4 linked regions of the Anolis sagrei genome follow. The protein of the gene in region 4 interacts with the protein of the main gene of each other region in a pairwise test. Links are inferred from orthologs where the notes say so. Each region holds a gene or a part of one and is shown on either strand. Other genes may lie near its edges.

Region 1 (7,345 bases), about 300 Mb from region 4:
CTTGGATCTGTCCTTTCACAGTGCCTTGGTCAGTGTTCTGGACCCAGCCAACTACACCTAGTTTTTTTCCTTGAGCCTAAAGGAGAAAAATCCATATACAGAATATCTCCTGAAGAAGATGCAATGATCTGTCTGAATACAGAGAAAAGTATAAGCTGCCTTTTTTTTATAAGAATCGATTTCCTTAAAAGAGTAAAAAAAAATGCTGTTCAACTCGTTTCTGTTATCAACCCTCTATCCCCACCCCTGGAAATGCAAAATGAATATATTTTAAGCTACTTTGGGTGTCTTTAGAAATATAAAGTGAGACATAAATAAATAATAGCCAGACAGCTGATTCTAACAGCATTAACCTTGAATGTTTCTGCTCTTAAGTAGGGTCCCTTCAACGCTGCCCTATATTCCAGGACCCCATAATAATAATAATAATAATAATAATAACAACAACAACAACAACAAGTTTATTTGTACCCCGCTACCATCTCCCCAAGGGACTCGGTGCGGCTTACATGAGGCTGAGCCCAAATACAACAATACAGACAATAAACAACAATACAAGCCATTAAAAATAAAAAAAGATAAGCAATAAAATATACAACATTATCACTAAGACAACACACAATTAAAAACAGTGGGAAGGCCAAATGTAAAGTTAAAATTGGAAATAATGTTGGGATAATGTTTATCCCAGATTATATGGCAGTGTAGACTTATATAATCTAGTTCAAAGCAGATACTCTGGGATCAGATCATGGGATATTGGGCAGTGCAGATCCAACCTCAAGGCCCTTCCACACAGCCATATGACCCAGAATATCAAGTCAAAAAATCCACAGTATCTGCTTTGAACTGGGTTATCTGAGTCCACACTGCCATATATCCCAGTTCAAAGCGGATAATGTGGGATTTGATTCAGGTGTGTGGAAGTGGCCTTAGCCTCACTCAACTCAAGTAGCCTTAATTTATGTTAGTCCAGGTATGGGAAAACGTTGGCCCTCCAGGTGTTTTGGACTCCAACTCCCACAATTCCTAACAGCCGGTAGGCTGTTAGGAATTGTGGGAGTTGGAGTCCAAAACACCTGGAGGGCCGAAGTTTGCCAATGCCTGTGTTAGTCAAACCCTTGACATGCCAGGATGGGCAGATACCTGTGTGTATTTGCGGAAAAACACCTCTTGCACTTTCCCGAACACTTCGTAATCGATTGACACGAGTCCATCTCCCTCAGCCATGGTCAGCGGTCCCTGGATCAAAAGTAAAAGTGCCATTAGGCCAGAGAGATAACGCAGATACAGAGCCCATATCCCCCCACCAGCCCCCAGAGATGGCTCCATGAGGAGAGCTGGCATGTCCTCTGAAGGGGGAAGTCGAAGGCCAAATGTCAAGGCAAGGGCAGAGGGTAAACCCTGCCTTCATTTGCATCTTCATGCATATGTAAAAAGGGGGCGGGGGATCGCTTTTGGCACCTGCAGGGTCTTTGGGGCCGCCTGAACGTATACCCGACAGCCTCCCTTCCTCAGAAGAGGGGCCGCCTTCCTCAGCCAATCAGCAGCCAGCTCGCGCGTTCAGGGTTCTAACCGCCACTAACGGCTCGACTGCGAAACCACAGAGCTGGCCTCCGTCTCTGACTAGAGAGGCCCCTCCCTAAGCCGTAGTCCGGAAGTGAGGCTGTTAGGAATTGTGGGAGTTGAAGTCCAAAACACCTGGAAGGAGGCCCAAAGTTTGCCTATGCCTGGTATATACATACACACACAAATATACTATATATCAGGCATGGCCAAACTTTGGCCCACATTCCAGGTATTTTGGACTTCAACTCTCCCAATTGCTAACATCCAATAGACTGGGTTGTTGGCGATGTTCCATAATAATAATAATAATAATAATCTTTATTTATACCCCGCCACCATCTCCCCAATGGGGACTCAGAGCGGCTTACATGAGGCCAAGCCCAAATGATAATTACAATAAAGAAAAACCAAAAACACAAACCGAAAACACGAACAATAAACAATAAAATCATAGTTGCATAAAACATATGAATACATAACAATATTAAAAAATATGCACAGGCACAATAATAATAGGCAGGCTACATGTAGTGATTAAAAAGACAAACTGATGAAAACTGATTAAAATTCTCTCCTGACGTTTCGCCTGCATCTATGGCAGGCATCCTCAGAGGTTGTGAGGTCTTGTTAGAAACTAGGAAAATTGGGTTTTTTCAACAGATCTTAGAGGAGGTGTGGTTTTAAAAAGGGAATTTTCAGAGATGTTCCTAGTGCCTATATTTATTTATTTCCAGCATTTATATCCCGTCCTTTTCAACCTCCAAAGAGGGACTCGAGACAACTTACATTTGGCACAATTTGATGTCATTAAATATAACATAGCGATATAACAACAATTAAAACAATAAATAGAATATTAATTAAAACAATAAAAATAGTATTAACCGCTGTATCACCATTCCAGTCTAATTCCATATCCAAAGTGCTATTTATGCCTGCTGTCCAAAAGCCTGGTCCTAGACCCACGACTTAAATTTCTTCCTAAAAGACAGGAGGGATGAAGCCAATCTTACCTCGTTGGGAAGCAAGTTCCACATGCAGGGGGCTACAGCCGAGAAGACCCTGTCGTTCGTCCCCGCCAGATGTATTTGCAACACTGGCGGGAGCGAGAGCAGGGCCTCCCTGGATGATCTTAAACTGCAAGGCGGGACTTAGTGGGAGATGCATTCGGACAAGTAAGCTGGGCCAGAACCGTATAGAACTTTATGGCTCAAAACCAGCACTTTGAATTTAGTTTAGAAGTGGATTGGTAGCCAGTGGAGCTGACACAAGAAATGGGTGGCGTGCTCCCTGTATGTTACTCCAGTTAGTAATCTGGCTGCAGCCCGTTGGACTAGTTGAAGTTTCTGAACAGTCTTCAAAGGCAGCCCCACATAGAGTGCGTTGCAGTAATCGATTCAGGATGTAACAAGATGTGCACCACTGAAAGATCTGAAAGAGACCTCTTTGTTGCTCATTAGTTCAGACGTTTCCGACTCTTGGTGACCTCATGGACCAGCCCACACCAGAGCTCCCTGTTGGCCGTCACCTCCCCAACCTCCTTCAAGGTCAATCCAGTCACTTCAAGGATACCATCCATCCATGTTGCCCTTGGTCAGCCCCTCTTCCTTTTTTCTTCCTTCCCCCCCAGCATAATTGTCTTCTCTAAGCTTTCCTTTCTTCTCATGATGTGGCCAAAGTACTTCATCTTGGCCTCTACTATTCTTCCCTCCAATGAGCAGTATTTATTTATTTATTTACTTTATTTATATACCGCTTTTCTCAGCCCTCAGGCGACTCAAAGCTGCGAACAACATCGATACAAAGCATCACGAGACAAGTATAGGGCAATTAAAAACAATTGTAACATAAATCATTAAACATCAGAATAACAATCATTAGTGCCTCAACAGTAAAATCAGAATCCAGTCTCATCATACATTATTCCATTCCTATGTTCAATGACATTGTTTAATCAAATGCTTGTTTGAACAGCTAGGTCTTCACTTTCCTCCGAAACGCCAGCAGGGAGGGGGCCGATCTGATATCTGCAGGCAGGGCGTTCCACAGCCGAGGGGCCACAACCGAGAAGGCCCTGTCTCTTGTCCCCGCCAAGCGTGCCTGTGATGCAGGCGGGACAGAGAGCAGGGCCTCCCCAGATGATCTTAGTGTCCTAGTCGGTTCATAGGAGGAGATGCGTTCGGAGAGTAGCATGTTCCAGAGTAGTAATGAGATCACTGACAAAGAAACAGCAAGAAATACTGTTTACCGCCACAAGCATAAAGAAATTACATATATTATTTATTTATTTATTTATTTATTTATTTACTGTCCTTGTATACCGCCGTTTCTCAGCCTAACTGGCGACTCAACGCGGTTTACAACAAAATATACAGTGCACAGTATACAATTAAAACCATAAAAAACATAATACACAATATTACACGAAATCACAAAATCACAATCCAATACATCTCCTAACTAAAATCGTGGTCCAATTGCATCATCCATATTACCAATCCGTAATCAACACATTCATTGCACCGAATTAACCAAATGCCTGTTTGAACATCCAAGTTCAAGTCCAACCCAAATGGACTTCAACTCCCAGTCTCCCCTGCCACTACAGTGAGCGTCAAGGGATTATGGGAGATGTAGTCCAGCGGCGCCTGACAGGCCCGATTGGCACTTCGCGTAAAAAGGCAGAACAGGAATGGCTAGGCGGCATGTGCGTGAGCGTTGCTAGGCAACAGAGGTAAACAGCCTACCCAGAGAATCGGGGTCAGAAGGTTGGCGCGGCAGCGGAGGGAAGCAGGGAGAGGGGGCGTGGCGGCGCGCTAGCACACGTTGCCATAGCGACGTGGCCGCTCTTTGGGCCTCGCGGCGTTTCGAGGCAGGAGATCCATGTCTCCTCGTTATCGGTGGCGGGTAAGCCCTCCGGGCAGTTGCTAGGAGAGGACGCTTCCGTTGTGTGACGATGCTCTAACTCGCTGCCCGCCTGCCTCCTGAACGAGATGGCTCTCGATAGTAAACACACCAGAGTGCGAGCGCCCTTGAACTAGAGACGTCACCTCCACTTCACGAAAATTAGCATAACTGCGACCTGAGGCTCCTGCCAAACCCAGGGCTCGTTTCTTCAGAACCAGAGGCCAGAACCAAACGCCCGTTTTCTTGCTGTACGTTTGAACGAACCGCACTGGGGTAAGTCATCCCTGAGGGAAGACCTCTGTCTTAACCCTTTGGCTGGCTTTATTTGCAATATATACCAGGCCTGGGAAAACTTGAGCCCTCCAGAGGTTTTGGACTTCACTCCCACCATTCCTAACAGTCTCAGGCCCCTTCCTTCCTTGGGCCCTCCAGGGTTTTTATTATTATTTATTTATTTATTTATTTTATTTACTTTACTTGTATACCGCAGTTTCTCAGCCCAACAGGCGACTCAACGCGGTTTACAACAAGGATAAGAATCAATCAACGATATATAATTTAAAACCATAAAAGCATAATATACAATATTGACACAACAATAGACAACACAATGCATCTCATAACTAGAGTCGTGATCCAATCCGTCGTCCAAATTTCCATTCCTGTAATCATCACATTCATTGCACTGTTTAACCGAATGCCCGTCCAAACATCCAAGTTTTTAATCTTCTTCGGAACACCATTAGCGAGGGGGCTGATCTTACCTCCATAGAAAGGGCGTTCCACAGCCGGGGGGCCACCACAGAAAAGGCCCTGTCTCTCGTCCCCGCCAGCAGGGCCTCCCCAGAAGATCTTAGGGTCCTGGTGGGCTGATAGGCAGAGATACGTTCGGATAGGTAACTTGGGCCAGAACCGTTTAGAGCTTTATAGGCCAACGCCAGCACTTTGAATTGAGCCCGGTAGCATTATTATTATTATTATTATTATTATTATTAATTTAGGAACTAACGGTCCCCTGCCACGCATTGCTGTGGCCCAGTCTGGAGATCTGGAAAATAATTAGAAAGTGTTGGTTTCTCATATATGTAATTTCTTTATGCTTGTGGGTAAACAGTATTTCTTGTTCACTAGAGTTAAAAAAAACTCTAAAATTACAACAGCAAAACAACAGAGAGGAAACAATCAGGCACATCTAATCACCTCTCAACAAAAGATTGCCCCAGGCACCAACATGCCACATCGCTTCACTTCACTTTATTTCTTAATTAGTCGCTCTCCACCAAGGTGCTCCGAGCGACTTACAATCTAAAATAGCATTTACACAATATAAAAACATTCAACATAAAAACATTCAACAACATCAAACAACTGCCAGGCCATCAAATGCTAATCAAGGTGGTCAGTTGAAACATTCACACCTAGCTCCAGCAGACAAGAGTTCTTTGTTCCACCCTGGTCATTCCACAGATATATAAACCCATTTCCCTAGTTCCAACAGACCTCACTACCTCTGAGGATGCTTGCCATAGATGCAGGCGAAACGTCAAGAGAGAATGCCTCTAGAACATGGCCATATAGCCCAAAAAAACCTACAACAACCCAGTATTCCTTGTTGTTTCTTTGTCAGTGTTGATGTAGAGATTGTCTGGTTTGCCTACTCTGGAACATGCAACATATTATTGTCCATCTTTAGGGGTCCCTTTCAAATCTATGAGACTATATCTGTCATATACATATGTGTGTGTCTCTGTGTGCGTGTGTATCACATATATCTATCTATATCTATGGCTGGATGGCTCTTTGTCAGGAGGCATTTGATTATGTTTTCTTGCCCTGGTGAAGGAAGTTGGACTGGATGGCCTTAAGGCAGCATTTCTCAACCTGGGAGTCGGGACGCCTGGGGGGGTTGCAAGGGGGTGTCAGAAGGGTTGCCAAAGACCACAAGAAAACACAGTATTTTCTGTTGGTCATGGGGGTTCTGTGTGGGAAGTTTGGCTCAAGTCTATCGTTGATGGGGTTCAGAATGCTCTTTGATTGAAAGTGAACTATAAATCCCAGTAACTACAACCCCCAAATGTCAAGGTATTTTTTCCCCACACTCCGTGTTCACATTTGGGCATATTGAGTATTCATGCCAAGTTTGGTCCAGATGCATCATTATTTGAGTTCGCAGTGCTCCCTGGATGTAGGTGAACTACAACTCCAAAACTCAAGGTCAATGCCCACCAAACCCTTCCAGTGTTTTCTGTTGGTCATGGGAGTTCTGTGTGCCAAGTTCGGTTCATTTCCATCATTGGTGGAGTTCAGAATGCTCTTTGACTGTAGGTGAACTATACATCCCAGCAACTACAACTCCCAAATGGCAAAATCAATTTTTTGAGTGATGGTTATTCCTTGCTTTAGATGTCTTGTGGTCAAATTTGGCAGCAATTCGTCCAGCGGATTTTGAATTATGATGTCACTCAAAACGAACAGAGCATTTATTTACACGCACACACTAGCTGTGCCCTGCCATGCGTTGCTGTGGCCTATAGTAAGAATTTTCGAAGTAGAGGTAGATATCTGGACTATTATGAAAGGGCATTACTTACCTATTCCTTCCCTTTTTCTTCCCCTTCCCCTTTTTATCCTTTCTTCCTTCTCTCTTTCCTCCCTTCCCTCCCCCTTTCTCTACTTTTTATTTTGTCTCCTTTCTTCCATTTCCTTCCTTCTTTCACTTTTTATTTCCTTTTCTCCTTCCTTCCTTCCTTCCTTCCTTCCTTACTTACTTACTTACTTACCTCTTTCCTGCCTTTCCTTACCTTTTCCTTTCCTTTCTACTTTCTCTTCTTCCTTCCTTCGGTACCTCTTTCTTTCCTTCCTTCTCTTC
Region 2 (7,008 bases), on a different chromosome or scaffold from region 4:
TCCCATACATTATTTTGTTGTAATCCTTCCAATAAGCCTGTAAGAACTGAACTCCCTGGAGAAGATATTAATAACATCACTTATTTATAGCTTGTACACTATAACTGTATTTTCCCAAACTGGCTGCACGTCCTCAAGAACAGAAAAAAGACATTTAAAATAATGATTTGCCCATGGAAAAATATAACTGCAAGAGGTAAAATTCAGCAAATTCAGAATAAAAGAGTGCCCAGTCCTTCACCATCGTTTTGCTCACCCAGTTTGTGACTTGTCTTCATAAAAACCTGACCCCTGTCTCATAAAAAAGCAGAATTTTATGTGTTCCTGTGAAGTTAGTTTGGGAGTAAAGAAAACGGAGAACACAGATACCCTGTAGAACATGGTTTTGTGGTTATACTGGGAATATAAACCTCTAATTTAGCTGAACAAAACTTCAGCAGGAAATGAGACATTCTTCAGGTGCACTTTTTCCCATTGCCAGACCATCCAGAACAAAGAGAGCTAACTGATAACTGCAACAACAGAAACACCTTTTTATTGGGATCACTGCATGAAACCTATATAACATGTGCCTAATTTGCCTTTTTTAGAATGTGCTTGGCATCTGTTTCCATATTATTCTATGGAAAGAACACTATTATTGCCCAGGCAGATCAATAACATAGCTAATAGTAGTGTGCAAACTTGAGAAGGATATGGCATCCTTCAGAAACAATCCAACACATGATGTTAAACATGCCTAAAATTTTGGGCCTGCATTCATTAAATTTTACTTTTGATTGCTTATCCTTTGAGGATAAATTGCCTATTCTGTATTAGACTTTGGAAATCGTACTCTGGACTAAGCTAAAAGCAATGACAGCAGCAGCAACAACAACAACAACACTTTATTTATATACCGCTCTATCTCCCCAAGGGGACTCAGAGCGGTTTTCAAGTAACATAATCAATACATACAAGAAAAAAGGCATAAACATAAAATTAACAAAACAGTATAAGCATTAAAACCACAATAGCACATACATTTAAAATAATCATGTCTGATCAAGGCAGTTTAAAAGGCCGGGCCGGGCTACTGCAATTTTAGAGGGCCCGGGAAATTAGTCTATGGCTGTACATGTCTATGGCTGTACATTTCCAGAGCCTAACAGAAGAGAATGGCCTGGGTAATTGCTAGAAGAAGATATGACCAATTTCAACAATCTGGGGCAGAGCTAAAACTAGTCGTTCTCAAAGGTTTGCTTAAACCACCAGGTCTTCAAGCTCTTACGAAAGGAGGGGAGGGATGGGGCCTGTCTTATTTCCCCAGGAAGGGCGTTCCAGAGGTGAGGGGCCACCACTGAGAAGGCCCTCTCTCTCATCCCCACCAACCGTGCTTGTGACGGTGGTGGGAGTTAAAGGAGGGCCTTCCCGGAAGATCTTAAAGTTCACGCCGGTTCATAGAGGGAGATGCGATCGCGAAGATAGGTGGGGCCCGAACCATTTAGGGCTTTATAAGTCATAACCTGCACCTTGAATTTGGCTCGGCAACTTATCGGCAGCCAGTGAAGCTGTTTTAAAACGGGCGTTGTATGCTCCCTATAGTTTGCTCCAGTAAGGAGCCTGGCTGCCGCCCGTTGTACCCATTGGAGCTTCCAGGTCGTCTTCAAGGGCAGCCCCACATAGAGCGCATTGCAATAGTCCAGTCTGGATGTAACCAAGGTGTGGACCATGCTGGCTATGACTTTAAATCCTTGGTGCTTACAAAAGGGAAATTATTGATGTTCATCTTAGTTGGGGGCTATTTGATTTTTTAAACTGCATTGAAATACTCATACTTGCAAATTTTCTAATCTTGGCTCAGACACTTCTCAAAATGGAAAGTGTCATGAAAAACAACTAGAAAGTTGGAAGTTTAGCTATGAAGAAATTAAATAAGAGAGACAACTGAATACCAGAGTCCAAATTATCCACACCATAGTATTTCTGGTTTACTTGTATGGTTGTCAAAAGTTGAACAGTAAGTAAAACAGAAAGGAAAAAATCCAAATAATTTGAAACATGGGTTGTTGTAGGTTTTTTGGGCTATATGGCCAAGTTCTAGCAGCATTCTCTCCTGACGTTTCACCTGCATCTATGGCAGGCATCCTCAGAGGTTGTGAGATCCTCACAACCTCTGAGGATGCCTGCCATAGATGCAGGTGAAACGTCAGAATGCTGCTAAAACATGACCATATAGCCTGAAAAACCTACAACAACCCAATGATTCCAGCCATGGAAGCCTTCGACAATACATAATTTGAAATATGGTGCTAGAGAGAACTTGATGGCAAGTACAGGATTGAATCTTTCTCTCAGTGCTTCAGTTTGGCTTGATTCCACAGTAATAGCACTACCTAACACAAGGTCATCATGAAAACATTTCTGTGCACACATTCCTAAATTCCACATTTTTATGAACACATTTTCCCCATCTATATACACGTCTAATACTATAAAACATTCAGCTGAGAAAAACAAAGCATTATTAGCCAAGGGAGGAGAAACCTCCAAGAATTAAGTTTATAAGATTCTTATAATCTTATATGCTTCATATTTAGAAAGTAGTTCTCCCCAGATGAACTGTTCTTGAAGTGACATTCATATCCACAAAGGTGTATTGGGTTCTGGGTAGCACAACCTTACTCTCACTTTGTTGACAGTATTACAATTATTGCCAAAAGCTTAAGAGTATTACTTTATTTTGGAAAGCAGATCTATCTCTATAAAAGATACAATCTACACAGAGTTGATGCACACATAAATACACTTCACATTAACTCTACATTTCCTGTAGAAAAAAAAATCCTAATCTTTCCAAGATTTGAAACACTTACCCAGCCTTTCTGATGTATTCAACATGAAAATAAAAAGCAGAGGCCAAATGTAAAGCATGGTTTCAAAGTTTCCCTCCGAAGGCGTCTCTCCTGGTTCAGCAGATGCAGAGAAATAAGCAGCCTCTCCTCCCCAGCACACTGGTCCTCTGCAGAGAGAGAGAGAGAAAAAAACAGAAGGGCTGGACTGGCAGCTTGGAGAATTGGGAGGAAACAGTTTCTTCTGGCTCCACCAGTTTTCTTAAGCAGCCTCTCATCCTCCCTCCCTTCCTCATAACAAACCAAACTAACCTTCAAATTCCACACAGAATCCGCTCACCCAGGCAAGCTTATTTTAGGTCAACTTTATTACAGCAAAGGGGGAAAGGTTTGCTATTTATTTATACTGTGCATGAATGGAATGTGCCCAAAAGAGCTGTGCTGGATGTATCCAAGTGAGAGAAGTGTAACGCAACTGACATGCATCTTTCTCTGGGTTTTTTAATCACGCTGTAAAGGACAATCTTATGTGATATTCCTGAAAGTCTTGACACTATTTGTTTATTTAGATGTAAAATCTACCCTATCCTGAACATCAATGTTATACTATTTATGACATCTATATAAATAAAAATGTAATGTTCATTTGTGGGATTAACATAATTTAAAAACCACTGGACGAATTGACAACAAATTTGGACACAATGCACCTATCAGGCCAACAAGTGACCATCACTCATAAAAACACTGAAAAACACAGTGGAAGAGGCTTACAAGCCAAAAAACAAAAAGACATTACAACGCAAAACCACATATATACCCAAACACATATATACACATATACATAAACATATACACACATATATGCACATATATACACACACAACACACAGGGGCGGCCCAACCCATTACGCAAAATAAGCATTTGCAGTATAGTTGATTTTGCCCAGGGGTGCTCTTGAGGCGCTCTTGGGGGGAAATAGATCTTGACATATGCAAGCTGTAGTTACTGGGATGTATAGTTCACCTGCAATCAAAGAGCATTCTGAACTCCACCAATGATGGAATTGAACCAAATATGGCACACAGAACTCCTATGACGAATGGAAAATATATATCAATGATTGGTTGGGGGGGGGGGGGCAAAATACTGTTTGCTTACCGTTGAAAATTACCTAGGGCCGCCTCTGACAACACATATACACAGAAAAGGGGAAGGAGGGAAGGAAGGAAGGAAGGAAGAGAGGAGAAAAAGAGGGAAAGAAGGAGGGAAGGTGACAATGAAGAAAAGAAAGAAAGGTAGAGAAGGAAGGAAGGAGAGAAGGAAATAAAGTGAAAGAAAGAAGGAAAGAGAGAGGGAAGGAAGGAAAGAAGGAGAGAAAGAGGGAGGGGGAGGGAGGGAAGGAAGGAAGGAAGGAAGGAAGGAAGGAAGGAAGGAGGGAAGGAAGGAAGGAAGGATGGAACCAAAGAGCAAAGGAAGTGAGAAAAGAAAAAGGTGGAGAAGGAAAAAAGAAGAAGGGAAAGAAAAACAGGGAAGGAAGGAAGGAGAAAGAAAGAAAGAAAGAAAGAAAAGAAAAGAAAAGAAAAGAAAAGAAAAGAAGGAGAGAAAGAGGGAGGGAAGGTTGGCCACAGCAAAACGTGGCACGTACAGCTAGTTTTATATATAACTGTGACAGATCCCTGCTCCACATTCTGAATACTTGGGCTCCTGTCATCCACCTTATTCCAGAATTTTGAAACTGCTCACTGTGTAATGTGACTTTAGTAGACAAGGAGATGTAGTTTGTGTCAGGCTCGGTTTGTTAATTTGTGACTGATTCTTATTTTAACCTTTTAAGTGAATGGCTTCTAGGCAGTGCTGTAGAATAACAAAAAAAAATTATTACTAGCAGATATCTTAAACATTTAGCATGTTGCTACCTTCAGAAATATTTTAATGTAACAACTTTGAATTGAAGAGTCACTGTGATACTTCAGTTTGAATGTTGGACTATTATTCTAAGATTTCAGATTACAAATTTGCACTTGGCTAGGGAAGACTACTGGGTGATCCTGGGCAAGTCGCACTCTCTCTGTTGGGGTTCAGGAGCAAGATGCTGAGGATTCCTCTTTCTCAGAGGATGAGGGGGATGATGGGTTTCCCATTCACAAGTCTGTGTGTGATCAGGGTGATTTGCAGACCACAGAGCAGACAGATCACAGAGAAGTGCCAGCAGCTACAGAGGTGGAGACAGGATGTTTAGGATTCCAATGTCCATTCCTTAGCAACCAGGGAAAAGTCTATTTCTGCCTTCAGGGCCTTCTTCAGGTGCAGATGGGGACTTTTCCTGTGATATAAGATTAGGCCTCTGTGGGGAAGGAGTCAAGGATAGATTATAGGGTTGGATAGGTTCAGGTGTGGCATAATTCAAGAAAAAAATGGATGTTTTTGCCTTCCAAAGGGACTTCCGCCACATTTCCGCAAGGCTGTAGTCCCCTATAGTTTTGAATCACCTTGCATGATTGATTTCAAGGATGCGGAAGTGATTCAGAAATCCTCTTATTTAGAGATGAATTAGTATTTTCTGGCTGGGAATTTTTAATATAATTCCAGAACACCATAGGTTAGAATCATAGGCTGCATTTACATTGTTGAATTAATGCACCAACCGCACTGTCTGTTTCACTCTCACTTGCAGTATGGATGGTCATGGATTAGCTAGTGTGCCCCTCTCCTTGATATTTTATTTTAACTGCCTTAAATAACGCCTTCAATGAGCTTATGTTTTACCGTGTAAAATTATCAATAGCTGATTTAAAGGGTACAGTGTCTTTCACAACTGAACAGCACAGACATGGGCATTTGGTTCATAAGGTTTTATCACCAGAACATTATAAGGCCAGTTTCAGTGTTTAATATCGCATCTTTGCAGAAGTATGTTTGATTACTATGTACTGACTTCTCCCTTTCAGTAACCAAGTGTTACTATTGCTGTATAAATAATAGTAAAACATGCCAGTGTCTTAAAAGAAAAGATCTCAGAAAATATTTCTAATTTAAAATAATACCAATGATTTTTTGGCAGAATTGTTGTTCGGAAAATGGAGAGAAAGCATTCCTTGGTGTCTTTAGACCAAATATGGTAATTGAAGGAATGAGCAAAATCATATAAATAAGAGGTCTGAACAAAATCCAGTGTTGTCATATTTCAGAAATGCCAGTACCCAAAAAATACCTCATAAACGCTACTGCCAGTGTTCTTATGTAAGCGGTGAAATGTTAAGAGAGCACATATATGTGGCTATTAAGCAACTGCCACATATCAATTAAAATCCTGCAAGATGCTGATAGAGCACAACATCAGTTTGGGTGGGGTAGTGCTGGTAGAAATGCCCTTTATTCCTAGATGTGCAATAACACTTTGCAGCCTATGATGCGGATCCATCTCCCAGTTACTGTTCTAAGGGCCCATCTACATAGTCCTGAAAACCTGGGCAAAGATAGGATAAAGGGGGTGACTACAAAATGCACACGCATAATGCAGGCTTGTTACTGAAACTGTACAGAAAACACGTGATAAAAAGGTTGAATGAAATCCATTAATGGGCAAAAATGCACTACTACAGAGCACTATATATCCCAGCCCCGCCCCCCAATAAGAGTTCCTTGAGCACTTATCCTCCTTTTAAAACCCTGAAAGAGCTGATGGAAGAATGTAAACAGATGGAGCCAAGGAAACACAGAATACAAAGATCAAAGAAACCAATCAGGCAGCTAAATGGAAGCACAAGAGGAAAGCAATTCTCATGAGAACTCTCTCCAAACATTTATTTGTTCTCATTTCTTTTGTCTCACTGAAATGAATCGGAGCTTGAGATTACTCAGCAGGCACCAGCATGTCACAGGCAAGTGACCTCAAAGGGAAATGGGGTTCAAGAGAGCAAACTTGAGGTACCAGGAGTGAGAGTGAGACAATGATAGTAAATCTGTTTGTGGACATTTTGTTGTATCTGCATCAGTTCTGCAACACTTGTGAAATGTTTATAAGGTACAACACATCTCAGAGCATCATTAGGGGGAAAAATTAAATTTCTGATGGATGGGACACTGTAGCTTTTGCAGTTCCATTTAATTAGCATTAACCAGACCTTTGTGGACGCCATGAGACCATTTACCGGGATGAATAAGTCTGTGCAT
Region 3 (7,101 bases), about 200 Mb from region 4:
CATCACATTTCACCACATAATAATACTTGGTAAGATGGTAGGTAGAGTTAAAGTAGTTTCCATTTTTGGGGGATGCATCTACATTGTAGAATTAATGCAGTTTTACACCACTTTAACTGCCATGGTTCAATGCTATAGTATCACTGGGGTTATAGTTTTACACATTCTTTAGCCTTCTCTTCGAAACAGTACTGGTGCCACACCAAACTACAAATCTCAGGATTGCACTGCTTGGAACCATGGCAATTAAAGAGGCTCAAGATATTCTATATACCTTGGATCAGTCATAAAGAAAAATTGAGACTAAAGTCAAGAAATCAAAAGACTAGGGGTGGATATAGAATGAAGTGTAAATGCGTCCTTGATCACAACACATAAACTAACCCTTAAATATTTATAGTAAATTTGTAAACTTTTAAAAATGTGTTGAAGTTATAAAAATTACACTCCAAAAGATATCTGTTCAGAAATAAGCTACACTGAAATTCAATGAGACTTATGTTCACATGTGTATATACAGGTTGAACATCCCTAATATGGAATTCTGAAATACTCCAAAACTAAAAAATTGTCCACATGAGTGGCTGAGATAGTAGTACTTTGCTTTTTGATAGTTCAGTGCACAAAAAACTTTGTTCCATGCACAAACTTTTAAAAACTATGGTATAAAATTACTTTCAGGCTATGTGCATAAGGTATATAAAACACGCATAATGGAAAAACAGATATTCCAAACGAAACCCCTAAACAACACCAAAATACCAAATACTTCTCGTTCCTGTATTTCAGATAAGAGATATTTAACCTGGATGCATGTAGGATTGCAGTCTCGCTGTAGTCCTAATAAAGAGCTTCTTTCTGGAGGATTCATTTCATTTTCAATGCGTAGACTGCCCCCATATGGAAACAACTGCAGAATCATGCTAGGGTAGGGTTTTTATTAAACCATTAAAAACATAACATTCAGTAGACAAACCAAAACACATGTAACTGACACTTAACTCTGGTCAGCAAGGAGTTTACAAGACAGCTACACCCAGGAAGGAATCAAAGGCCATTTCTTATCTCAGCAAATGCAAGCACAAACAAGCAAATCCCACTGCTGCTGAAGTTCACAATTTACACACACACACACACAGGCACAACTCTCTCCCTTTTTTTAGGGAGAGAGTTGGAGCCCCCGGTGGCGCAGTGGGTTAAAGCCCTGTGCCGGCAGGACTGAAGGTCAGTGGTTCGAATCCGGGGAGAGGTGGATAAGCTCCCTCTATCAGCTCCAGCTCCTCATGCGGGGACATGAGAGAAGTCTCAGATATTCACACCATGGCTCTTGAAATGATAATCAATTCTTACTGATCCCAAATAGTTATATTTGGCTTTTTTTGTGAGTAATAACAGCTACAATTATTTCACTGATAAAGAACATAAACCAACAACATAGAGGAAACCAGTAGCAATTCTGTGTGCTATGGTTGGTGCCAGTTCACTGTAGCAGACTCACAGGGGCACCAATGGGTAAATATCTTAATCAAGGGCTTCGTAACTTTGACTTGGGACCCCTTTTGGCCTGAGAAAATTTTATGTGACCCCAGATATCTATCTATACACATAAAAAAGTGAAAATATGTATGTTTATGTGTGGCAGGGGTGTCCACTTGCACAGACAAGCTCCTGCCTCCATAAATGGCTATAACTTCCATCACGCATGAGACACCAATGGCCCTCCCTCCAATAACATTGCAAGTTATAGTGAGTGCCATGAACATTTACAAGAGGCTTGCCAATGTTCTCCACAAACACCATACTGCCCACCACCAAGTGAATGCTTTCATAAAGGGAAAATCTCTTCCTAGATTTTGTTTTCCCTCCACCATAGACATCTCATTGTTTCTGACTCTCTCTATTGGTGTGGAATTTGCATGATCCCGCCCACTGCCTTTCTTACTCTTCTCTATGGCACACAGCAAACGGAGAAACTGATCAGAAACTGAACATACTGGAAAGGTTTGAGGGATTGACTCAACATGATGGAAGTTGTCCAGGGTGAACTACAACTTCCATCATGTTGAGTCAATCCCCCAAACCTTTCCAGTATGTTGTTTCTGATCAGTTTCACCCTGTTTGCTGTGTGCCATAGAGAAGAGTAAGAAACCCTGCTGGGCACAAATGGCCTTGATAAGCCAGAGGTTTGCTGGACCCTACCCTGCCTATTGACATCAGCACTTCCCTTGTACATGGTGGGTTGGGAAGAAGGGTTCCTACTGATAAGAACTGGGCCGAGTGTGGTTGCAGGGTGGAGACATGGAGCATGGTGGGAAATTGTCTGATTAACACCCAAAAGACGGCACAGCATTGTGAAATATAAAAGCCAGTGTATTGTCATTGCTTGGGGTTCCTCAATTTTGGTGGCATCACTGGAACACCAGTTCTCTTTATTTTTTCTACCTTTTCTGAGTTTTTCAGAACATAACTTTCTGAGAGCAAGAAATGCCTGGTTATTTTGCTGGCTGTCTCTGAAGCTGCTTCTTTTAAGAGATTGGAGAGTTTAGTTGTATTGATCTGCATTATATAGATCTACAATGTCTATATAATGCAGTCCCATAGAATGGGGTTTAGCTGCATCGAACTGCATTATATGGGTCTACACTTATATAATGCGTTATATAACGGAGTTTAATTGCATCAGACTGCATTACACAGGTCTACACTGACTATATAATATAGTTCCATAGAATGGGATTTAGCTGCATTGAACTGCGTTATATGGGTTTACGCTTATATAATGCCACACAATAATGGAGTTAAACTGCATCAAACTGCATTACACAGATCTACATTGACTATACTGTATAATATAGTCCCATATAATGGAGTTTAATTGCATCAAACTGCATTACACAGGTCTACACTGACTATATAATGTAGTTCCATAGAAGGGGTTTGGCTGCATCGAACTGTGTTATATGGGTCTACGCCAGTGGTTCTCAACCTGGGGTCCCCAGATGTTTTTTAGCCTTTAACTCCCAGAAATCCTAACAGCTGGTAAACTGGCTGGGATTTCTAGGAATTGTAGGCCAAAAACATCTGGGGACTCATAGAGCAGTGGTCCTCACCCTGTGGGTCCTCAGATGTTTTGGACTTTAACTCCCAGAAATCCTAAAGCTGGTAAACTGGCTGGGATTTCTGGGAGTTGTAGGCCAAAACACCTGGGGACCCACAGGTTGAGAACCACTGGTCTATGCTTATATAATGCCACATAATAATGGAGTTTAACTGCATCAAACAGGTCTACACTGACTATAGAATAGACCATAGAATGGACTTTAGCTGCATTGAACTGCATTATATGGGTCTACTTACATAATGTCCCATATAATGGAATTTAACTGCATTGAATTGCATTATATGGGTCTACACTGAGCAGACCCGTAGCCAGGATTTTGATGGGGGGGGGGGGTGCTGAGTTTGAGGGGGGGGGAGTTTGATTTAAGGGGGGGGGGGCTGAGGATCTACCCATGCAAACCTTTTGTATTGTTACCCCAATACCCCCATGCATATAGGATATATTGAGCATGGTGGTCAGATTATGATATGAATAAACATAACAGTTTAAATAATATACCAGTAAGGCCTTTTCGCGGACCACCCTGAGAATTTGGCGGGGGGGGGGGGGGCTGAAGCCCCTCAAGCCCCCTTCCCTTGGTTACATAGCACTGACTATATAAAGTAGTCCCATAGCACTGACTATACAAAGTAGTCCCATATAATGGAGTTTAGCTGCATAGAAGTACAGTATATTACATGGGTCTCATATAATGTCCCACATAATGGAGTTGAACTGCATTCTATGGGTCTACACTAATTATATGGTATGGCAGTTTATATATGAATGCTGAACACTGGCTAGGGGCTAATCTTGGCTCCTGTTTCTGCCTGAGGAGTGGCCCAGTTTGTGTTTCCTCTCAGTCCTCCACTATAACTCCCATCCCTCCTGCTAGCTAGAGTCTCTGGGAGTCCCAAAACACCCCCCCCCCCTTTGCGTTGCATCCAGGGCACGAGATAGGGAGGAACCTCTTGGAATGGAAACCGAAAGCAAAGGAGGCAGCTGGCCTTGCCTTCCTCCGCCTCCTCCCGCTTTTTCCCTCCCACCTGGTGGTTTCTTGGAAAAGACTGCAGCTCGTTGCTTTCTCTTTCCTGCTTGGCGTCCCCAGGACTTTCCTCCGGAGCCCAGCTGCGACTTGATCAACTGCAAGCACTCTTTGTAAGTAAGTCTGGGTGGTGGCTTCTCTTTCCTAGGAGCAGGCTAGATGTTTATAAAGAAGGCAAAGGGTGTTGGGGTTCCCCTTTCCTGTTAGGAGATACTGATTGTTCCATCTTTTCTGTCTTGAGAGCAGGAAGCTCCCAGGCATAAAAGAACAGCAACAACAACAACAAAATAACAAAATTGTGTTGTATAAATTGGATATTGTTTTTGCTGGCTTATAATGTCTTTTATATCTGCTTGGGGATTGCTATGCACTTCCTGAGACTTTTACTTTTGGTTTTAGTTTACTAAGCTTCTGGTGAATCAGTGAATATAACAAATCATCCTTGATGTTGATGCTACTTGTTGGAGCAAAGTCTGTGAGGACCAGGAGAAAACAAACTCAAATGGCTTTGGTAAAACAACCCTGAGGTCCCTTTCACAATATGCAATTAGAGTGTTAACCATTCCACTTCAACTACCCTGGTTCCATACTATGGGTTCCTGGGATTTGCAGTTTAGGGAAGGGCCAAAGATCTCTTTTGGTTGTGTATCCCTTATTCCAAAATCCTCCAAATCCCAAAATTGTCCACCTGGGTGGCTGAGATAGTGACACCTTTTATGACAGCAGATTGAGATAACACCATAAGATTGATTTATCTTTGCATAGTGGGCTCCATGGGTTATAATAATAACAACAACTTTGTCTTGTCGAAGGCTTTCGTGGCCGGAATCACTGGGTTGTTGTAGGTTTTTTCGGGCTATATGGCCATGCTCTAGAGGCATTCTCTCCTGACGTTTTGCCTGCATCTGTGGCAGGCATCCTCAGTGGTAGTGAGGTCTGTTGGAACTAGGAAAAAGGGTTTATATATCCGTGGAATGACCAGGGTGGGACAAAGGACTCTTGTCTGCTGGAGCTAGGTGTGAATGTTTCAACTGATCACCTTGATTAGCATTTGATGGCCTGGCAGTGCCTGGGGCAATCTTTTGTTGAGAGGTGATTAGGGGTCCCTGATTGTTTCCTCTCTGCTGTTTTGCTGTTGTAATTTTAGAGTTTTTTGATACTGATAGCCAGATTTTGTTCATTTTCATGGCTTCCTCCTTTCTGTTGAAATTGTGTATAACTTTATTTTTATATACCGCCAACCATCTCCTCTAGGGGACTCGGGGCGGCTTACAAGGGACATGCCCAAGATTACAATTAAAACACACATGTAAAACACTTTAACCAATTAAAACATCAGATAAAACAAATAACACAATAGGAAGCAATATAAAAACAATATGGCTGAAAGAAATATAGTCAAAAGTGCACTGGAACATCCAGGTTTTTAGTTGACTATGAAAGGAGGACAAGGTGGGAGCCTGTCTGATCTCCCTAGGGAGGGAGTTCCAGAGCCGGGGGGCCACCACTGAGAAGGCTCTCTTCCTCGTCTCCACCAAACGTGCATGTGACAACGGGGGGAGAGAGAGCAGTGCCTCCACAGAAGATCTCAAGGTATGCACTGGTTCGTAGGGGAAGATGCGATCGCAAAGATAAGCAGGTCCCAAACCGTTTAGGGCTGTTATGATGGTTTTTTCCCCAGAGAAGAGACAATTCAGTTTAGGTTTAGACATTAGAATAAACACATATTGGCAAAAAGGCCCTTGATACAATAAAACCATTAGAAGAATAACACTGTGATATTTGTGTATATCTAACTGTGCTCTGTAGAATATGGAGAAAAGTGACATTCAAGGGACACTTGTAAGCAAAATGGAACCACTTAAAGAACCAGCACAATTCAAGGTAAGTTCTGTCAAATACTTCTACAGTTTCCCATTGGAACAGTCAGTGTTGTGCATGATAGATACTATTTATGTATTTCTAACTTTATTTGGCAGAGCGCAGAGGAAACTGAAACTCCAGAAGCAGTTATGAAAAAGACAGGAAATCTTTCAGAATTGGAAACGTTGATGGCAAATGCTGTAAGTAGTACTCATGTAACTCTAAACAAATTCAAAGCTTTCTACCTTAATTTTTATGTTTCATCCTGAACAGGGAATTTACTGGGCTTTATGTTTTACTACTTTGTGTGGGGAAAGAGTCACCACATCCTTTTTTTGAAAGTATGAAAAAGATGAGTTGTGCTGCCCCAAGGAATTTTTTTTAATTTTCCTTTTAATTTCTGTGTGTAGAGCATTGAAGAACACAAGACTTCAGATGTACTTACAAATGAAACTGGAAAACAGAGAGAATTAGAAAAATTGAAGGTGAGCACAGTAGATGTGGAGGATAAACTCTGTGCATCTGTTTTTTGAAAAGTCTGCCAGCAGTGTTTTGTCTGAAGCATTGAAATGTCTGCCATGGAATACTGGTTGTGAAGTGATTTATAGTTTCCAAGTTATGACCTCCCTGAACAGCTGCAAGCTGAATAACACGTGTCCCAGAAGCAAGCAAAATACAGCAGAGTCCTTTCACAGCAAAGGCATACTTCAACCAGTCTGTCAGTAGAGTCCCAACTGCCAGCATCTAGCCACCTCTACACACTGTTTAGTAAACTTGCGGATTCAGGTTTTCATTCAAAATATCTGGAGCCCCCGGTGGCGCAGTGGGTTAAACCCTTGTGCTGGCAGGACTGAAGACCGACAGGTCGCAGGTTCGAATCCGGGGAGAGGTGGATGAGCTCCCTCTACCAGCTCCAGCTCCTCATGCGGGGACATGAGAGAAGCCTCCCACAAGGATGATAAAACATCAAATCATCCGGGCGTCCCCTGGGCAACGTCCTTGCAGATGGCCAATTCTCTCACACCAGAAGTGACATGCAGTTTCTCAGGTTGCTCCTGACATGACAAAAAAAAATCAGAATATCAGGTGGCTT
Region 4 (7,601 bases):
GTAGTAGTAGTAGTACTAAGGAGAGGCTGGATGGTCATCTGTCGGGAGGGTATGCATGGTGCCTTCCTTCCCAGCAGAAGTGGGGCTGGACTGGATGGTCTTTAGGAATCCCTTCCAAAGCTGGGATTCTATGACCCTCTCCCTCTTTGGGAGACTGAGGCTTGCAAAGGGGTTCCTCATTGCTTGCACATGTCCCCCTCCCCTCATCAAAGAAATCCAACCCTTCCCCAGTCCTGGCCTGCCTCCAAACCCCTTTCCCCTTACTTCCTCTCCCCTTCCTCAATCTTGCTCTGCTTCCTCCCTCCAGCAAGGAAGAAGGGCCAAGGAGACCAGGTGGGTGGTCTCATAGGTCGAAGACAGCCAGGGGCCAACTTGGGCCCTCCCTCCCTCCAGGTGTTTTGGACTTCAACTCCCACCATTCCTAACAGCCGGTAGGCTGTTAGGAATGGTGGGAGTTGAAGTCCAAAACACCTGGAGGGAGGGAGGGAGGGCCCAAGTTGGCCCCTGGCTGGACTAATTGGTCTGGGTTCTCTGCCTGGACCTCTCAAGCCTTCAAGGAAGCCCTTGGACATTGTGGCCCTTTGGAGGCTTTGAAGCAGAGGCTGGATGGTCATCTGCTGGGGGTGGTTTGAATGCGATTTTCCTGCTTCCTGGCAGAATGGGGTTAGACTGGATGATGGCTCACCAGGTCTCTTCCAACTCTAAGATTCTATAATTCCATGACTCAAAGAAGGAAGGAAGAGAGGAAGGAGGGAGGGAAGGAGGGAAGGAAGGAAAGAAGGAAGGAAAGGGAAGGAAGGAAAGGAAAAGGAAAAAAGGAAGGAGAAAGAAGGAAGAAAAAGGAAAGGAAAGAAGGAAGGAAGGAAGGAGAAAGAAGGAAGGGGGAGGGAGAAAGAAGGAAGGGGGAGGGAGAGAGGGAAGAAGGAAAGAAGAAAGGAAGGAAAGTAGGAGAGGAAAAAAAAGAATAATGATATAATAAATTTTATTTTTAACCCACCATCTCTCTCCAGAGGGACTTGGAAGGAAGGAAGGAAGGAAGGAAGGAAGGAAGGAAGGAAGGAAGGAAGGAAAGAAGGGGGAGGGAGGGAAGGAGGAAAGGAAAGAAGGAAGGAAGGAAGGAAAGTAGGAAAGAAAGAATAATGATATAATAAATGTTATTTTTAACTTGCCATCTCTCTCCAGAGTGACTCAGGAAGGAGGGAAGTAATGAAAGAAAGAAGGAAGGGAAGGGAAGGAAGAAAAGGAAAAGGAAAACAGGAAGGAGAAGGAAGGAAGGAAGGGAGGAAGGAAGGAAGGAAGGAAGGAAGGAGGGGGGAGGGAGGGAAGGAAGGAAAAAAGGAAGGAAAGTAGGATAGAAAGAAAGAATAATGATATAATAAATTTTATTTTTATCTCACCATCTATCTCCAGAGGGACTCAGGAAAGAAGAAAAGAAGGAAGGAAGGGAAGGAAGGAAGAGAAGGAAAAGGAAAAAAGGAAGGAGAAAGAAGAAATAGAAAAGGAAAGAAGGAAGGAGAAGGAAGGAAGAAAAGGGAAAGAAGGGAGGAGATGGATGCATGGATGGATGGAAGGAAGGAGTAAAAAGGAAAAAAGGGTGAGGGAGGGAGGGAAGAAGGAAAGAAAGGAAAGTAGGGAAGAAAGAAAGAAAGAATAATGATATAATAAATTTTATTTTTAACCCACCATCTCTACCCAGAGTGACTGAGGAAGGAAGGAAAGAAGGAAGGAGAGGGAAGGAAGGAAAAGGAAAAGGAAAAAAGAAGGAAGGAAGAAAAAGAAAGGGAAAGAAAGAAGGACAAGGAAGGAAGAAAGGGAGGGAGATGAAGGGAATGAAGGGAGGAGATGGAAGGAAGGAAGGAAGGAAGGAAGGAAGGAAGGAAGGAAGGAAAGAAGGAAGGAAAGGAAGGAAAGAGAGAGAGAGAGAAAGAAAGAAAGAAAGAAAGAAAGAAAGAAAGAAAGAAAGCAAGCAAGCCTCCCCTGCTCGGCTCTGCTTCCTCCAGGTCTGCCTTGCCCATAGTTCTTGAGAAGTTTTGGAGTGATGTCCCTCTTGCTGCCTGCCTGAAGCGGTCACTTTGGCTCAGGCCACAACCTTGACCCACCTTCCCAGGGGGCCATACATGGCACTCTCCTCCATTGTCCATCCACTCCATATGCCCATTTGCCTCCACAGGTTGCCCTCTTCTTCCTCTCCCATCCCCATCTTGCTTTGGGGTCCCACCAAAGAAGCCACCCTCTTACCTGTGCCGGCTGGCCACCCGTGCCCCATTATGACCCTGAGCGAGGTTGGCGTTGGCCTGGTGCTGTCCGAAGGGGAGTGCTCCGGCCGTGTAGAGGCTGTACCGCGGAGGGTAGTTCATGGCTTGCGCCGGAGTGTCGGCCAGCAGGCCAAACCAGAGGCAGAGCCAGGCGGCCAGAGCGGTGCCGGCCATCCTGGTCTTGCTTGTGCCACTGGTCAGCTGCGCATGGCCTGGCTCTCCCTCGGGTGCACAAATCCAGGGACAGTGTTGCTCCTGTTGCTTCTTCGGTCAGGGGCAAGGCCCACCTTGGTGTCCACTTGATCTGGATGGAGGATGGTCAAGCAGTCAAGCAGCCAGGCGTCCAGTTGGTCAGTTTGTGCTCCTAGCCTTGCTGGTGCTGCTCACACTCTGACAGCTTTGCAAGGACTTCCCAGAGGTTGTAGTTCCCTCCTCCCTCTCTCTGCTGCTCTGCTCTGCTCTTCCCCTGACTTCCTGCCTGCCTACACTCCCAGGCTGGCTGTCCGGCCGTCCGGCCTTGCTGGACTCCCCTTGACCCTCCTGTCCTGGAGCATGCCTCTCCCCGAGAGGAGCCCCACTTTGCCGCAGCTCCCTCCTACCCCAGGACGTGCCTTGCTTCCCCTTCCATCCCCCTCTCATCCCCTTTGCTGGCTTTGCAAGAGTTTCCCTCCACGGCTGCAAAACCAACATCTGCTTCTCGTTACAGTCGGGACAGGAACACGCTCTGGGCCAAAGGCATGGCAGAAGGGGGGCCGAGAGAGGAGAAAGGGTCCCCGGTCAAAGGGACACACACACACACACATGGGAGGGGGCCACCACCAAGGCTATGGCCTGGCCCCTTGGCACGGCCAAGGCAAGCGGGCAGGAAGTGACCTCAGCGCTTTGGCCACCCTTTTCTCCGCACTCCCCCCAACTGGGGTTTTCCAGCAAGCAAGGCCTCTGTCTGGACGGCCCCAAGGGATGCTTGCCTGCCTGACTCCATGTGTGTATGTGTGCGCGTATCGCTCCGATCTCAGACAGGGAGGCCTTTGTTTCGGCCCTCTTAGAATCATAGAATCCTAGAATCCAAGAGTTGGAAGAGACCTCCTGGGCCATCATCCAGTCCAACCCCATTCTGCCAAGAAGCAGGAATATTGCATTCAAAGCACCCCTGACAAATGGCCATCCGGCCTCTGCTTAAAAGCTTCCAAAGAAGGAGCCTCCATCACACTCCGGGGCAGAGAGTTCCACTGCTGGACGGCTCTCACAGTCAGGAAGTTCTTCCTCATGTTCTGGTGGAATCTCCTCTCTTGTAGTTTGAAGCCATTCTTCCATTGCATCCTAGTCTCCAGGAAAGCAGAAAGGAAGCTTGCTCCCTCCTCCCTATGATTTCCCCGGCCTCACCTCTGGATCCCTGGCCCTCACCTTGTCTCCTCATAGAATCCTAGAATCCAAGAGTTGGAAGAGACCTCATGGGCCATCCAGTCCAACCCCATTCTGCCAAGAAGCAGGAATATTGCATTCAAATCACCCCTGACAAATGGCCATCCAGCCTCTGCTTAAAAGCTTCCAAAGAAGGAGCCTCCACCACACTCCGGGGCAGAGAGTTCCACTGCTGAACGGCTCTCACAGTCAGGAAGTTCTTCCTCATGTTCAGATCATAGAATCATAGAATCAAAGAGTTGGAAGAGACCTCCTGGGCCATCATCCAGTCCAACCCCATTCTGCCAAGAAGCAGGAATATTGCATTCAAATCAACCCTGACAAATGGCCATCCAGCCTCTGTTGCGAAGCTTCCAAAGAAGGAGCCTCCACCACACTCCAGGGCAGAGAGTTCCACTGCTGAACAGCTCTCACAGTCAGGAAGTTCTTCCTCATGTTCTGGTGGAATCTCCTTTCTTGTAGTTTGAAGCCATTCTTCCATTGCATCCTAGTCTCCAGGGAAGCAGAAAGGAAGCTTGCTCCCTCCTCCTCCCTGTGACTTCCTCTCACATATTTACACATGGCTATCATATCTCCTCTCAGCCTTCTCTTCTTCAGGCTAAACATGCCCAGCTCCTTAAGCCGCTCCTCATAGGGCTTGTTCTCCAGACCCTTGATCATTTTAGTCGCCCTCCTCTGGACACATTCCAGCTTGTCAATATCTCTCTTGAATTGTGGTGCCCAGAATTGGACACAATATTCCAGATGTGGTCTAACCAAAGCAGAATAGAGCATGGGGAGCATGACTTCCCTAGATCTAGACACTAGGCTCCTCTTGATGCAGGACAAAATCCCATTGGCTTTTTTTGCTGCCACATCACATTGTTGGCTCATGTTTAACTTGTTGTCCACGAGGACTCCAAGATCTCTTGCCTCCTTACGGGAAGAACAAGCGAGATGCTTACGTGATCCCTTGCACCCCACTTTTCTTTCCCCAGCTCCTGCTCCTGGCCTTACTGACTTAGGTGATCCCTCGTGGTCTGAGTGATGCCGAGGGCACCCCAGCCCCCTGCTTTCAAGCTGATCTGACCAGCCGCAGGGAGTTCCGCAGTTCCTGGATGCCCAGTTGAGCCAAGACTGATGAAATGTGCCCCAGAAGCAGCTTCAACCAGGGATTCTTTGCAGCCTTGCGCTCTCTCCTTTCGCTTCTTTCCCCAGCCCAAACAATGTAACCAATCCCTCAATAAAGACTAATTGAATTGTAAGCTTTACCTCTTCAGAATGATACCTTGTGTCTTTTCCTTGACTCACTCAACTAAAAAAGCATGATTTTACCTTTTCTGGGCCGCGGGAGACCACCAGCCCGCCTGGGATGCCGAATCTGCGTTTCTTCAAACCGCGGATACGGAAACCCCTCAGCACCCCCGTATCCGTGAGTTGAATGATTGACTCCATTTTTGTGCCATATTTTTCCTAGCAAATTTCTAACACTATCTGCTATCTCACTTTTTGCATTTCGTGCCCCTACGCTCGGGGAATAACCGTTGAATTTTTAAGAATATATTTTTAAGGAAAACAGCTGATTGTCAAATCCAAGCTTCGCTGCTGCTGCGCTACCACTGCCATCTCTGTTTCTTCGTCCTTCTGGAGCTCCTCGACCCAGAGACTTGATGCGGTCACCCCATGAGGCTTTGAACATCAAGCAAAAAGTGGGTGCTAGAAACAATATCATACGAAAGCTGACTGGCACAACCTGGGGATCACAACCAGACACAGTGAAGACATCTGCCCTTGCGCTGTGCTACTCTGCTGCTGAGTATGCATGCCCAGTGTGGAACACAACTCACCACGCTAAAACAGTGGATGTGGCTCTTAATGAGACATGCCTCATTATCACGGGGTGTCTGCACCCTATACCACTGGAGAAATTACACTGCTTAGCCGGTATTGCCCCACCTGACATCTGCCTGGAAGTAGCAGCCAATAGTGAAAGGACCAAGGCAGAGACATCTCCAGCTCATCCCCTGTTTGGGTATCAGCCAGCACGCCAACGATTTAAATCTAGACATAGTTTTCTAAGATCTACAGAGACACTTCCTGGAACACCTCAGCAAGCGAGAGTCCAAAAGTGGCAGGCTCAAACCCAGAACCTCAACCAATGGCTGATACCAAATGAGAGACTCCCCCCTGGGCACTCAGAGAACTGGGCGACTTGGAAGGCACTGAACAGACTGCACTCTGGCACCACGAGATGCAGAGCCAACCTTCAGAAATGGGGCTACAAAGTGGAATCCTCGGCATGCGAGTGCGGAGAAGAGCAAACCACTGACCACCTGCTGCAATGCACCCTGAGCCCTACCACATGCACAATGGAGGACCTTCTTGCGGCAACACCAGAGGCACTCCAAGGGGACAGATACTGGTCAAAGGACATTTAATCAACTACCAAACTCACAAGTTGTGTATTTTTCTGTCTGTTTGCTTTGTTTCTGTTAGAAATGTAATATATAATGGACTGGTTGCTCTGACACGACAAATAAATAAATTGAATTGTAACCTTTATCTCTTCAGAATGATACTTTGTGTCTTTTTCCTGACTCACTCAGCTAAAAAGCATAAATTTACCTTTTCCGGGCCGCGGGAGGCCGAATCTGTGTTTCTTCAAGCCGCGGATACGGAAACCCCTTGGGCCCCCGTATCCGCGACTTGACGAATCAACTCCATTTTGGTGCCATATTTTTCCTAGCTAAATTCTAACACTATCTGCTATCTCGCTTTTTTGCTTTTCGGGCCTCTACGTTCGGGGAATAACCTTTGAATTTTTAAGAATATATTTTTAAGGAAAACAGCTGATTGTCAAATCCAAGCTTCGCTGCTGCTGTGCTACCACTGCCATCTCTGTTTCTTCGTCCTTCTGGACCTCCTCGACCCAGAGACTTGATGCAGTCACCCCATGAGGCTTTCGGGGAGCAGATCGGTCACCGGGCTCCAGTCCTTGGAAGGAGTTATAGTTTTCCAAGGACAGCTTCGACCTCAGCGCCTCAGGGCTCCATTTCTTGGCTCAGTGGAAATCATCAGGCCCCTTTTAATGACTTTTGGACCTTTTGCCACACTTTATGGACCTCTTTTTCCATCATGGACTTACTTTCATCCATGGATCTTCCTGAAATGAACTATGAATTAATATTGGGCCATGATCAAGGCTTCTATCAATTTCCCTATGGGACACTGGGTGGCAGGATGAAGAGATATGATTTCTATAACATGATTTCTGTATTTCTATATTTCCTCCCTGTGTATCTGATCTTTTCCTGACCCTTTGGCCCCATTCCCTTTTCCTTCGAAAAAATGTATAAAATATAAGGAAGCCGCCCTGACCCTGAAGAGGAAGCAATTAGCAATTGAAGAAACCCTTATCAAAAACACTCCTTGCATGGACTGTAACAAAGGATTGTGATCTCTCATGGTCCAAGTATGATTCCAAGTGCAGCCTCTTAGCAGCAATGAAGCAAGTGGGGTGTATTTGTCCAGAGTGGGAGAAAGAACCCTTGTCTGTTTGAAGCAAGTATGCAAAGTCAATCAGTGAGGGTCTCTGCCTAGAGGTAGCCTGCCCCCTGTTGCGTGGAGGCACCCTCTGTGCAATGGTGTCCAGGGTGGGAGGAAGAGCCCTTGTCTGTTTGAAGCAAGTGTGAATGTTGCAATTATCAAGTTTGATTAGCATGGAGTAGCCTTGCAGCCAGGTGACCGACCTACTCCCCGAAAGCCTTATGGGGTGACCGCATCAAGTCTCCGGGTCGAGGGGCTCCAGCAGTTCCTAAATGACACAACCGGACACGATCCCTTCCAGTCCGGCTTCCAAATGGGGCACGGGATGGAGACTGTGCTAGTTGCCATCACAGATCAGCTCCGCTGCCGGATGGATCAAGGCGGATCAGCACTGCTCGT

Evidence for each region.
Region 1: the proteins of EMILIN1 (region 4) and ZC2HC1C interact in binary tests that used the Homo sapiens proteins (3 or more experiments, as listed by UniProt). The two-hybrid records come from large-scale screens. The link is inferred for Anolis sagrei from reciprocal best matches to the Homo sapiens genes EMILIN1 and ZC2HC1C.
Region 2: the proteins of EMILIN1 (region 4) and PLAC9 interact in binary tests that used the Homo sapiens proteins (3 or more experiments, as listed by UniProt). The two-hybrid records come from large-scale screens. The link is inferred for Anolis sagrei from reciprocal best matches to the Homo sapiens genes EMILIN1 and PLAC9.
Region 3: the proteins of EMILIN1 (region 4) and NMI interact in binary tests that used the Homo sapiens proteins (3 or more experiments, as listed by UniProt). The two-hybrid records come from large-scale screens. The link is inferred for Anolis sagrei from reciprocal best matches to the Homo sapiens genes EMILIN1 and NMI.

What each region holds. Positions count from the first base shown.
Region 1 is NC_090021.1:304,973,851-304,981,195, forward strand, and holds the start of ZC2HC1C (zinc finger C2HC domain-containing protein 1C), read left to right. Parts: upstream 1-4,339; 5' UTR 4,340-4,749; intron 4,750-7,345. Other genes in the region: ACYP1 (acylphosphatase-1), read right to left, coding at 1-76, 1,147-1,347.
Region 2 is NC_090023.1:153,469,067-153,476,074, forward strand, and holds the start of PLAC9 (placenta-specific protein 9), read right to left. Parts: upstream 3,002-7,008; 5' UTR 2,914-3,001; coding exon 2,856-2,913; intron 1-2,855.
Region 3 is NC_090021.1:204,978,286-204,985,386, forward strand, and holds the start of NMI (N-myc-interactor), read left to right. Parts: upstream 1-4,097; 5' UTR 4,098-4,262; intron 4,263-5,954; 5' UTR 5,955-5,957; coding exon 5,958-6,029; intron 6,030-6,124; coding exon 6,125-6,208; intron 6,209-6,418; coding exon 6,419-6,493; intron 6,494-7,101. UniProt on the Homo sapiens protein: Acts as a signaling pathway regulator involved in innate immune system response.
Region 4 is NC_090021.1:1,919,996-1,927,596, forward strand, and holds the start of EMILIN1 (EMILIN-1), read right to left. Parts: upstream 3,009-7,601; 5' UTR 2,430-3,008; coding exon 2,239-2,429; intron 1-2,238. UniProt on the Homo sapiens protein: Involved in elastic and collagen fibers formation. It is required for EFEMP2 deposition into the extracellular matrix, and collagen network assembly and cross-linking via protein-lysine 6-oxidase/LOX activity.